Drosophila melanogaster: one gene and its partners. Changing the gene in region 1 together with any one later gene gives a genetic interaction. Each region holds a gene or a part of one and is shown on either strand. Other genes may lie near its edges. The genes, in order: gcm, lilli and mid.

Evidence for each region.
Region 2: of gcm (region 1) and lilli, changing one suppresses a phenotype caused by changing the other (phenotypic suppression), as found in Drosophila melanogaster (one study listed by BioGRID).
Region 3: of gcm (region 1) and mid, changing one suppresses a phenotype caused by changing the other (phenotypic suppression), as found in Drosophila melanogaster (one study listed by BioGRID).

Annotation. Positions count from the first base shown.
Region 1 is NT_033779.5:9,579,648-9,583,375, forward strand, and holds the start of gcm (glial cells missing), read right to left. Parts: upstream 2,099-3,728; 5' UTR 1,946-2,098; coding exon 1,548-1,945; intron 1,473-1,547; coding exon 356-1,472; 3' UTR 1-355. UniProt on the Drosophila melanogaster protein: Transcription factor that induces gliogenesis. It determines the choice between glial and neuronal fates. Also has a role in the differentiation of the plasmatocyte/macrophage lineage of hemocytes.
Region 2 is NT_033779.5:2,883,759-2,887,528, forward strand, and holds the start of lilli (lilliputian), read left to right. Parts: upstream 1-2,170; 5' UTR 2,171-2,820; intron 2,821-3,770. Other genes in the region: NTPase, read right to left, coding at 1,235-1,264. UniProt on the Drosophila melanogaster protein: Has a role in transcriptional regulation. Acts in parallel with the Ras/MAPK and the PI3K/PKB pathways in the control of cell identity and cellular growth.
Region 3 is NT_033779.5:5,459,579-5,463,348, forward strand, and holds the start of mid (midline), read left to right. Parts: upstream 1-2,060; 5' UTR 2,061-2,339; coding exon 2,340-2,526; intron 2,527-3,770.

The DNA of each region.
Region 1 (3,728 bases):
TATACTGACAATGATTACGAGCTCCCTTGCTTGACACGTGTCAATTCTCAAAAAAAGGCTGCTTCGATTAAGTTTTTCTTTCAAAAATGTTTATTACTACAAAAAAGTTCATAAATAGGTGGGAAATGTGACTTAAAACTCTATGTGCTTAAGAATACTATTACTCTTACGTGCTCTAAAACTTTGGAATAGCTGGGAAACAAGTACAAAAGTACAAACTAGAAACGTTCAATATATAATAATACACGACCAACAAGCAATGGGAACATGAATGGAAATCAATCAACTAGGGACTAGAACAACGCTTGAGTGGCTCAGTAATAGTAGTTGCGATGAGAGATCTTATCCCGATCCCCTAGCAATAGATGGGATCCGTGCTGTTGACTGGGTGATATGTCGCGTCCATTTGAATGTTCCACGAGTTGTCCACTCCCGTATTGCTGTAGTAGTAGTCGGCGGACTGCATCTGATCCTGCGGCTCCTGTTGATAATTGGTGAGATGCGGAAAAGTTCCCTGTTGCTGATGTTGCTGATAGGCGGTTGCTTCGTCGTAGATGAGATCCACGCCACTGGTCCCTCCGCCATTCAGAGTTGACTCAAACACACTGAAGATCTCCGAGCTGGTTGTGTAGAAACTTGCATCCTGGCTAAGATTCTGGCTTTGGCTTCCATTGCTCACGTCCAGCGAGTTGGGTAGATATCCATTGTAGTAGCCATAATCCTCGGAACAGTAGCCCGAGCTGCTGGTCAAACTGGACGTATCGTCGCATATTTCATACGAAGGCATTCCGCACTGAAGGCTGGAGGAGATTGGCTGGCTGGGATCATAGCTGACTGGTACATGTTGCTGCGGTGAGAGTTGCTGCTGGTATTGTGAGTGCTGCAGTTGCTGCGGTTTGTTCTCCTGGTAATAACTGCCCGTGGAGCTATGCGCTGAGAGAGGTGAGTGGAGCATATCGTAGGAGTACATTCCATTGGCATAGCATGGATCCTCCGTTTCGTAGTGAATCTCTCTATTCCACTGACTGATCACTGATCCTTGTCCTGCTGGGACATATGAACCCTGAGATTGATTAAAGTTGGTGCTATGTGTGGGCGTCGATGTGGGCAGGTAGGTGGTGGGTGGCACCACTAACTCCTGCTTGGTTTCGAGCACATCGGAAGCACCCATCCTTCTGCGCTTGCTCTCCTGGATGGACTGAGTCTTGGCCTGCCGTTTTGTGGGTCTCAGGCTACTCAGCTTGTCGCTCAGCGCCGATTCCCTGGCCAACATTACGGCCAAACTTCGCACACGTCTTCCTCCTGCCAAAAGTCGCCTGGCTTCCGTGGATCCCTTGGCTTCGGGTCTGGGGTGATCGTGGGTGCCCTTGGCCTGGAAATAGATTCCATTTCCGTCCCTGCGCCAGAAGTGGGTCACTGGATAGCCGCAGTGGCCGCGGCAAGCCTGGATTTCCAAGCGACCATTGCAATTTCTGTCAAGAAAAAAAAATAAAAATACCGAGTTAGTTTTGACAATTCTTGGATTTTGTGTTTAGTCAAAAACCCACCTATTGGGACACTGTTTGCCCTGCTGCTTCCTTCTGGCCTTGTCGCAAATGGCGGGTCTCAGATGCACACTGGCTCCATTGGGCAACTTGCACTTGGCACTGCAGAGGAGCACTCCCAGGCAGCTCTTCTTTAGGATATTCACGTTGTGGTTGTTGGTGTTTCGCATGGCCCAACCGCTGGCATGTTTCCTGGCCTCATCACTCTGCACGGAGTAGATGAGCCGGCAATGTCCGTTGGACCAGTCATTGAAATCGTCAAACTCCCCCACCGACGGCATCTTGGAATCGTTGATGTCCCAGTCGATCGCCACCCGGGACTTGGTGGCCGGAGGACTGGGCACAGGCATGGGCACTGGCATCGGTACTGGCATTGTTATAGGCATGCCGTTCAAAACCATTTTTGATGTGTCTATGTAATCGTTAGTTTCAAGTTCACACGCGGTCACTATAGTTTTCCTTCTCAATAGTCTATTACTACTGTGTACTTCTTCTCAACTTTTCTCTGGAGCGACGCGTCCGTTCGCATCGACTGCGCAAGGCTGACTAACTGGGCCCGCTCTGCGCAGCACAGTTAAGTTGCCAGCGGTCGAATCGCACGAGGGTTGCTCGGTCGCAAAGCGGTACGCCCATTGGTCCATGCTGACTTCCAGTTCGGGTGCGCTTGTGTGCGGCTTATCCGCCTTATCCGGCACTCCAGTTTGGGAAATTAGGAGAGTTCCCGAGCAGGTTTGATTGGTAGTAGTGGTAGCAGCAGCTGGAGATGGAGAATTCGTTCTATAGGGAACTGGGAGCTGGGAGAGCTTGAGCACAGGGAGCTGGGAGCTGGGAACTGGCAACTGGGCAGGGAGACGAGTGCTGTGCTGCTCTAGCACCTGCGGTTGCAGCACGCGCTCCACTGGGTAATTGTACGATATGAGAACCAGGGGTTTGAGGCACTCGATGGCAAAGAACACGGCCCCAACCCCAGTCAAAGCTAATTAAGTTCAGAAAAAAAGTTTACAACATCAGTAATGGAAATGGAGATGGGGATGGGGCTGTGTGTGGATGGGGATGTGCTGTATGGCATGGGTTCTGATGGGTACACCTGGCGACAGTCACTGGCAGATGCCAGTGGTCGGGCCTATTTACTTTCGAACTGGATGTGGATGTCGAAATGGGGAGCAAAGTGAAATGGTTGGAGGGCAAGCAGAGTTACGAACAAAATGGAGATGGTTCCAACGAAGCACGGAAAGTAATTTAGTTCAAGGCTTTAAGACTTTTTTAATGCGGACATTAAAGCTGCTAAATCTACTTAACTTCAGAGGTAGAAATTATTCTGTAAAAAAATTTCAAAATCAAACGTAAATTTTAATGGAAATGACTCACAGAAATATAGAAATATTACCACTATATATAGTCACTATTATAGAATTTGGTAAGGCAACGGTATAGCTAACGGAACTACTTCTCACGATCTCAAAATCGATAAAGAAATAAACGTTTGCAAAAAAAGAAACCGAAATGTCGAGCTCCTGCCGATATCTTCAAGATGAAATCAGGGATCTCATAATCGTAAAACACAATTTAGCACGCAAAAAAACGGAAATCAAAAAGAAGAAATCCCATATTGGAAAACCTCCCCTACAAACCCAAAGGCAAATGCCATAACTCACGCATATGAATGAAGCAAAGTTTGCCAAACAAATTCCTTGGGCCCCTTGGCGATCTCAAGTCAGAGATAAACGAAACAAACATAATCATTAAGATGACGAAAGGGTGAGGAAACTCCATAATTTTCACACTTCCACGACAGACCAAATGCCATGCAATTATGACACGAACTGAGCGAGCAACCCGCGGCGCCTTTCTGCCAAGGAGTCGCCCAAAGATCAGGATCGTAGCACGCGATAGGAACTCAAAGGATTACGGCGGACAATGGGAAAGGGTGCTCCGACCGGGACTCGAGGGGCGTTGACACAGAAGAAAGTCATGACGTGGCATATTATGAGGCTGTGCTGGGGAAGCACATCCTACCTGGTCCCAGATTCCCGCACTCAAGGTGGGTGTGTCGCCTTAATGATGCCCGGAATTAACTGTTCCGTTTCAATTACGAGACATCACTTGGCAATCAAATTTATTTGACACTTTCTCTGCGGGGGCCAGTGGAGAACAGAACTCTTTTCTTTCCCAATGAAACTCAGT
Region 2 (3,770 bases), 6.7 Mb from region 1:
TTAAGCAGTAATGGAGTTGACAGGTAGATGGTATATATATCTATATCTATACAATCAAGTACACCCATTAGTTTCGAATACACATACTACTTCCCAATAATTACACTGTTGGCATAAGTGAAACTCATTAAACATTCAGGGTGTGAACTTAACGCATATGTTTCCAGGCGCACGCTACTGCAATCAATAAATCTACTGATAAAAGGCGCCTTTTGTGCCGATCTAGTGACTAAGAAGCCTGCTCCCCATTTATAAAGGGGAATACTTTAATCGGTTCTATAGATAACTCATTTATTTCGAAGCCGAACACTATTTTGCATCAGCTGAAAAGTAAATCTTAAGTCTTAAAGAACCCTAATTGATAAATGTATCTTGAAATATATAAATATGACGCACAAAATGAGTTGAAAGATACAAACATTGAAAGCTGGTAGAAGTGTGCTATCTAGAAAATGCTGATAAGTTTAGACACAGATGTTGTGAAAACAACAAATATCGAGTTAGATACAAAAGTATCTAGTATATATTGTAGTACCGAGTACACGTAGGTACACGAGGGTTAAGGCCACGTTAGCAGCCAGGCACTATCTGCACTCACTTGCAACCGGTTCCGGTTTGCCCGCATCCTGTTCTCCACCCACTTGCGATGCAAATCAGTCGAAACTATGCGATCCAATCGCCCCCGAAATGGGACACTCTATGTGTACCTGTGATCTTTGGGTTCCGATGCGAGAAAGCGATTGCAAAAGTTGTCTAGCGAGATTCGGTCGAAACGGCTGCCAACTGAATCGTTGGACTTTTCTATGCTTTTTTTTTATCAGCCCCCCCTAATGACCTTGCAAATGAGAAAGTTCCTGCTGACTGGTCACCCTAATGCGAATACGAAAATATTTCAAAATAAACCGGCCGGCATTAAGATGTTGATAGAAAACCCACTAGTCATCTCTTTCGTAACTAAAATCAAAATTTGCATAATTGTTAACAAAAGCGTGCTTAGCGGCCATTGCGTATCTATATTTAAATGTCTTGTAAACATACATTTTCAGATACAAATTGGCACAATCGAATAGAATAGAACTTGAAACGATTATTCTGCGAGTCATTTGATGTTTTACTTCCGCGTCAAAAGAGCAGCAATTTGAGGAATTCGCATGTGTGCGTGTGTGTGTGAGAGAGCGCCATGAAATTGGCATTAAATTTGTGCTGTGGATTGCCCTTTTGACCTTTTCCTTACTTTTCTCTTTCGCACATCGGTGTTCGTCATTCTGTCGTCGTTACTTTTCACTTAAATTATGTAAATACGCGAGCGTTTGTTTATTTCGGATCGATTGCTGCCGATCGCCGAGCGGAACGCACTAATGTCGATCTAATCTAATGATGGCCGCGCCCGCCGAATGATAAACTCTGATCAGGAAGCCAACGCGCACGGAATGGCGTCTTGGAATCAACTAAAAACATTTATTTACCACCTGCTCATTTATATGCTGCAGCCCTATCAGCTGTTCGCTGCGGCGCCCACTATCAGCGCATACGGCCACACTGCGGGGGCGGCAGGGATGCCAAAAATTGATGTGGATAACATAGAAATATTTAAAATTGTGAAATTATTCGATTTTGATAAGTATACTTCTTAACGGAATTCTGATAACAGGTGCAGAAATCCAGTGCATAGTACTATAATTGACATATATTAGAGGATTCGTTGTGCCTTAATCCGCTATTTAAATCAATAAGGATTTATCATAGATTCATTCGTAGATTCTTATCATTATTTTGTACCGACAAATAAGATAATTGGATTCAATAGATATTCATTCAAGCTAAGTGTAGATTAGATTATATAGGTATATCATATTTCCCATTAAGATACTTGCCCATTCCAAAATTGGGTTTTCTGGATTAGACATTGAGATAAGAAACCAGTGTTGAAAACCAACACTGAAAACTGCTTATGAATTTTCAAAAACGCTCGGATAAACACATTGCTAGATAAAACTCAGATCGTTAGACAAACCGGTTCCAAAAATCATTCATTAAGTAAGAGAAAATCGAAATTTTTAGCAAATATGCGGTACCGACATTTTCCAGAACTGGACCTATCGTCGCACAGCTGATCGCCCGCCAATCAGCTGGGCGATAGTTGCCGTATCGATAGCCGACCCATCGATAACGATATGTGTATTTTCCTGCTCTCTCTGCACCAACACAAAACACGCAACTAAATTTCGGTTAAAAACCCCTACTAAAAACAATGCAATCGAAACGGAACCATATAAAGTGATTAAATGGCCAACGCGGCGGAGGCGAAATGCGAGCGCAGTGCATTTTCCGGATGAAATCGCGTTTTCGGGGAAACTTACACAAACATTTTTTTCGTAAGCGCTCTCATGTTGTCTCTTTCGCACAGCAGAATTACTAGTTGCTGTGTGTGTGCGTGCGTGCGTTTGTGTGTGCCGTATGCCGTGTGCCAGTGTGTGCGTGCGTGTGAGTGTGAGTGTGAGTGACTTTGACTGCAGTTCGCGTACGTTTTTTATTAATACACCACATAACAACAATCACAACAACAACAAACAGTAATGGAAACTAAACATATTTAATGCGAGGAGACCAGAAATCGTCTAAAACGGCAAGGCTTTATCACCATCGCCACCACCACCAACAGCACAGCAACAACAACAAATTACTACAGCATATATGCTAGTGTGCGTAAACGTATTTGTGTTAAATAATGTTTAAACTGGCATTTCTGATTTCGCACACAAAACAATATTAAGTTGTAGTCACCAGCAGAGAGGAGCAATTGAAGCAAACGAAAAAGAGGTAAGTGCAAAAAGCAGACAATTGTTATAAACAAAATGTGTCAAAAGTTCGTCATGTCGTCGCGCGCTCTCTCTCTCTTTTTTGCTCGTTCTCCCTCTCTCTCTCCGCTCTGTCCTTCTCTCTCCCGCCACGCCGAAAAGAAATTAATTTTGATATTTTTTCCCTGCTTTTTTGTTGCACTCTCTCGCTCTCGCAAACTTTTAATTTTAATTTGCTATGCGCAGCGAATTCGCGCGCAAAGGCAACAAAAAAAGAGGCAATGCAAAGGCAGCAGCAACAACAATACAGGCAAAGTAATAAACGTCAAAATGCCAGACGGACAATTCCTCTCTCATGCGCTCTTTCCGTCGCTGTGTGCGTGCGTGTGTGTGTGTGTGTTTGGGTTTGCTAGCTTTTTGTTTTTATCAATTATTTAGGTAGGTGTTTGCCTTAAAAAGAATAACTGAAACGCAGAAAAATACCAATACTTGTATACTCCAAGTAAAAAAGGGTGAAAGGACACTATCGGCTCAACAAGGAGAATGCAAATGCTATAAGTAGGAGGGGGAGAGAGAGTCACACGCACACACACCTCAAGCAATTCTGATAAGAACAATTGTTATTTGTTTGAAAGCCGACATTCCAATAGTCCACGTCCATTCGCCCAAACGTTGAAAATAATCGACAAACTTAAATACTATTGTGTTTGTTCGCGAACCCAGAGATGCTTTGCCAACTGATGAAATAAATATGGCCAATGCCGTCAGAATAAAGCGAAAATACCATTGTGGTTGGAATTCTCTTAATGTTAACATTGATTACTCCATTTTCTACTTTCTAAACAATGTATTGTATTCAATATTTATATTGATAATATCGAAATAGATAATTGCAGTATTTAATTGTTTTTGTACTTCGAATTAGAAATATGACTTTAATCACGTACGCAACAACCCATGCTTTCTTCCTAA
Region 3 (3,770 bases), 4.1 Mb from region 1:
AGAGGAAATTTCCACAGTCCTGTGTCGGCCAAATTCAAAGTGAAAGTATTCGATTACCCAAAGCGATCGTTAAGTGAGAAAGGGAAAAGTATCGAAGAAATTATAAATTGCCGACAAAGCCGAGGGCCAAATACTTGAGATTTCGAGAGGGAAAGGACATAACAAGGAGAAAGTCAAACGAGGACAGTTAGCCGCACTAATTAACAAGCAGAATTGTTTATTTTTACAAGTGCCAAGTGGCCACTTTTTTTTCAGATCGACCGCCCTTTGTTTTCACAACTTGTGTTTTCCTTGGCTTTTGACATTTTGGTGACATACGGGACTGCCACCTAAAAAGACACACATGTAGATGCACAGACAAGGCCAACATATTAGGAACATAGGCTCTTTTTATGAAAGGAAGTGTAAACCTTTTTCTAGAATCAAAGTATGCACTCTACTTTTTAGAACCAGCGTTCTTGTGTCATAAAATTGTATTTAAAGTTATCCCAATCTATAATGCTATCGTCCGTTTTGCTTTTGAATTTGTTAATGCTGATAAAACATTTTATAGCTATCAACTTAACTGCAATTGTAACCAGAACACACACGACGCATCCCTCCCCGTCCACTTTCACCATTTCTCCCAGGGCGAAAGTGTCAAAGTGACATGCCCACTTTGTCGCTACCCGACTTAAAAAATGTCTCAAATTACAAAAATCACACAACAAGACGGTTTGTTCCTCGCACAGGATAAGCGGGATTAGTCAGCTTGTTAGTTAGTTTGGATCTCCGCGTTCCGTTTTTCAGGATCGCAGGATTTCCGTCATGGCAATTGGCAATCCGAGCAATACGTAATGAATGTGACGAACTGTCAGTTGTTTCGAGTTTCCTTGTCGCAGCCGCATTTTCTTTGCATTTTTTAGCGGGTTAATTGGCACTGACAAAGGTCTTGACTTTTGCCTGGGAAACATAACAATTTGTTGACATCTGTAAATATTATGGGGGAATTTTCCAGAGGACTAGCTTCTATCATACAGCGTGTGGAATTGTATATAATTACTAACGGAAAAATATCCCTGTTAACTTTTTGAATCGCCATAATCTAAATTTCATGATCATATCCTCTTGAATATAAAAAAATATAGCTTTACAAATAAAAATGTCTTGACTAATGCTTATAGATATACTATGTTTTCAAATGGACTTCTATAATATGTACTAAGCGAATTGTTTAAAATATGTTCTTCCCTTTACCGAAATAAATTCAAATTGCATATACATTTTAAATAAACTTGTAGTTATTTTCGCACTCTTTATTCATGTTTTTAGAGCACAGAAAAATTTCTCGAGCTCAAACTAATAAATTCCCAACGTCCCATTGCAATAACCTTGACTCAAGGTCCATGTCCTTGCAGATAAATAAGAAAGGAAAAACAACGGGATGCAACTGCAGAAAAAAAACAGAGACATAAAACTCACTCAAAACAGAATTGAGTGAGACACGGAACGTGTTGGAAACGAAATGGAACAGACGGAAGATGGAAGAAAACGTCAGAAGAGGAGATAACAGGAAATGGAATGCGACGACAACGGCGAAAAGTTGTTTAAAAAAAAAGACCAAGAAAAACCGCAAGCAAAACGTTGGCACTTCATAAATGGGCGAGAAAGAGAGGCAAAAATAAAAAGAAAGAGACCTCGCTATGGAGAAATAGAGAGGTGCGAGGGAGAAGGCCAAAAGCGCCGACATTTTTAATTGTAAATGAGTTATGACGCGTTCGTCAGAGAGAGAGGTGAGGCGAAGAAAAGAGAGGGGCGCAAGTTGCTGACAGCGCCGCCTTTCTCTCTGTCGCACGTTCACTCCCCCGCCGATTTTCCAATTGGAAAACGAGAGAGCGAGTGGCGTTTTCACTCAGAGTGTGCGGCTATAGGGCTATCCCGCTTGCACTCGTACTGGCGCGGCTCGCTGTAGGGTGGTCTCGCTTGCACACATAGGGACCATAAGAGGAATAACTGGTTTCCCGAGTTTTGCGCCTGCCGTCGTTTTTGGCTTCTCAGCGGCAACATTTTCCTGACACAATTCAGTTCGTCGTCGCCTGCCTTCCGTTGCGCACACACTCAGTCCGCGAGATTCTCAGTTCGCGTGCGCCAAAGATAAGCAAAAGAAAGCAAGAGAGATATAAAGATACAAGATACTTACACCTTGAAACATACACATACCCCTCGAGTTACCAAAGCTAAAGATGCATCTAGCTTTATAAGTGCCAAGTGTTGAAAAGTGACCAGATACAATACCCCAATACCTTTCCAAGGTATTCCCTAGTTAAAGCCCCATTAAGAACAACATCATACCCTTCAAAATGCTGGTTGGATCTCATCCGTATTTGTGCAACGGGGTGCCCGCCGCCCCTGCAGCACCAAATGCCAGTGGACAGACAACAACAACGGCTAGCAAAAGTGCCGCCGGCTCAGCGACGGACTTTTCCATCGCCGCCATCATGGCTCGCGAAGATGCCTCCAGTCGGGAGTCCTCCATTCGCAGTGCAAGTAAGTTCAGATACATATTGAAAATATCCTTAATAAGAAAGGAATTCTGTGGGAAGCGGCAGAATCATTAATCGGTTGATAGGAACAATTTGTTCTTAAAAATATATTTTTATGCATTAGAAATTTAATGCCTTGAATATTAAGCATTTCGATTATATAGTGATTTTTAAACAAGATTTTTTTAGGCTTAACAGACTTACAGCAAGATTCATTGATGAGATGTAGAATATCTTTAAGATACTTTCATTTCTGTAGTCTCAAATACCATAGGGTACTTTTGTTTAGAACTTCATTTGACAAGCTATAAGTTCCCTAATTCAACAATCTTTAATCATAGTAGGTAGTTGTAACTTTAGATATTCACTTATCTCCTAGCAGTGCTTTCTGTACAAAAACTTACTTAACATACCAGCACACAATAACTAGAAATTGCTAAAACAAAAATGGAATTTTTATACGATTAATTCAAATTAAACGTGATTAACAACTCAACGCCCAAGAAGAGAACCGCAAACTTGACCAGCGAATGCAAACATTATTAGCCACAAGACAATCGCTAATTGATTGCACAACAAATCTATTAAATTACTGTTGTCGCTTTGGGTGCGCAGAGTTCCATTTAATTGCTAATGACAATTAGCAGGCGTTCCGGCCACGTTAAAAAAGAAAAAACTAGTTCTCTCTGGCCGACGGCATTCGCAATTAAGTCGAGCCAAAGATCGCGAATCCAGATATTTGTTAGCAAACACTTGCAGCGCTCTTTTGTGGCCGATATTATGATAATATGCAAATTGTGCACAGCATCTAATCGCGCGGAATTCATATTTAACAAAGGCTGCTAATTATGTTAATTAATTTTCAACAATGTGCTTCATTTTATTAATTTTACGAGGCGCAGAAAATTAGCGACGGCCGAAATCAAAACAAAAACGCTACGAGGTGTTCGTATTTTACGATCTCTTTATCAAATATGCAGCTTTTTTAATTTCATATTTTGTTTTGTTTTTTTTGTTTTCTGTGGTCGCTTTCCGTTTTCCGTTTGCTTACTTTGCATTTTAACACCTACCGTCTGGGCTCACCTGCAAAAAAACCGGGCTGCTTAGTTCTCCCCATCATTTTGTTACCATTTTCGGCTTATGGAAAATGGAAAGCGTATGTGAGAGTTCGCCCATGGATAAGCCCAAAAATATTATTCATCAACTTTTGCGCACACACCTTGAACGAAAGCCCTCCGCTTTTGTTTA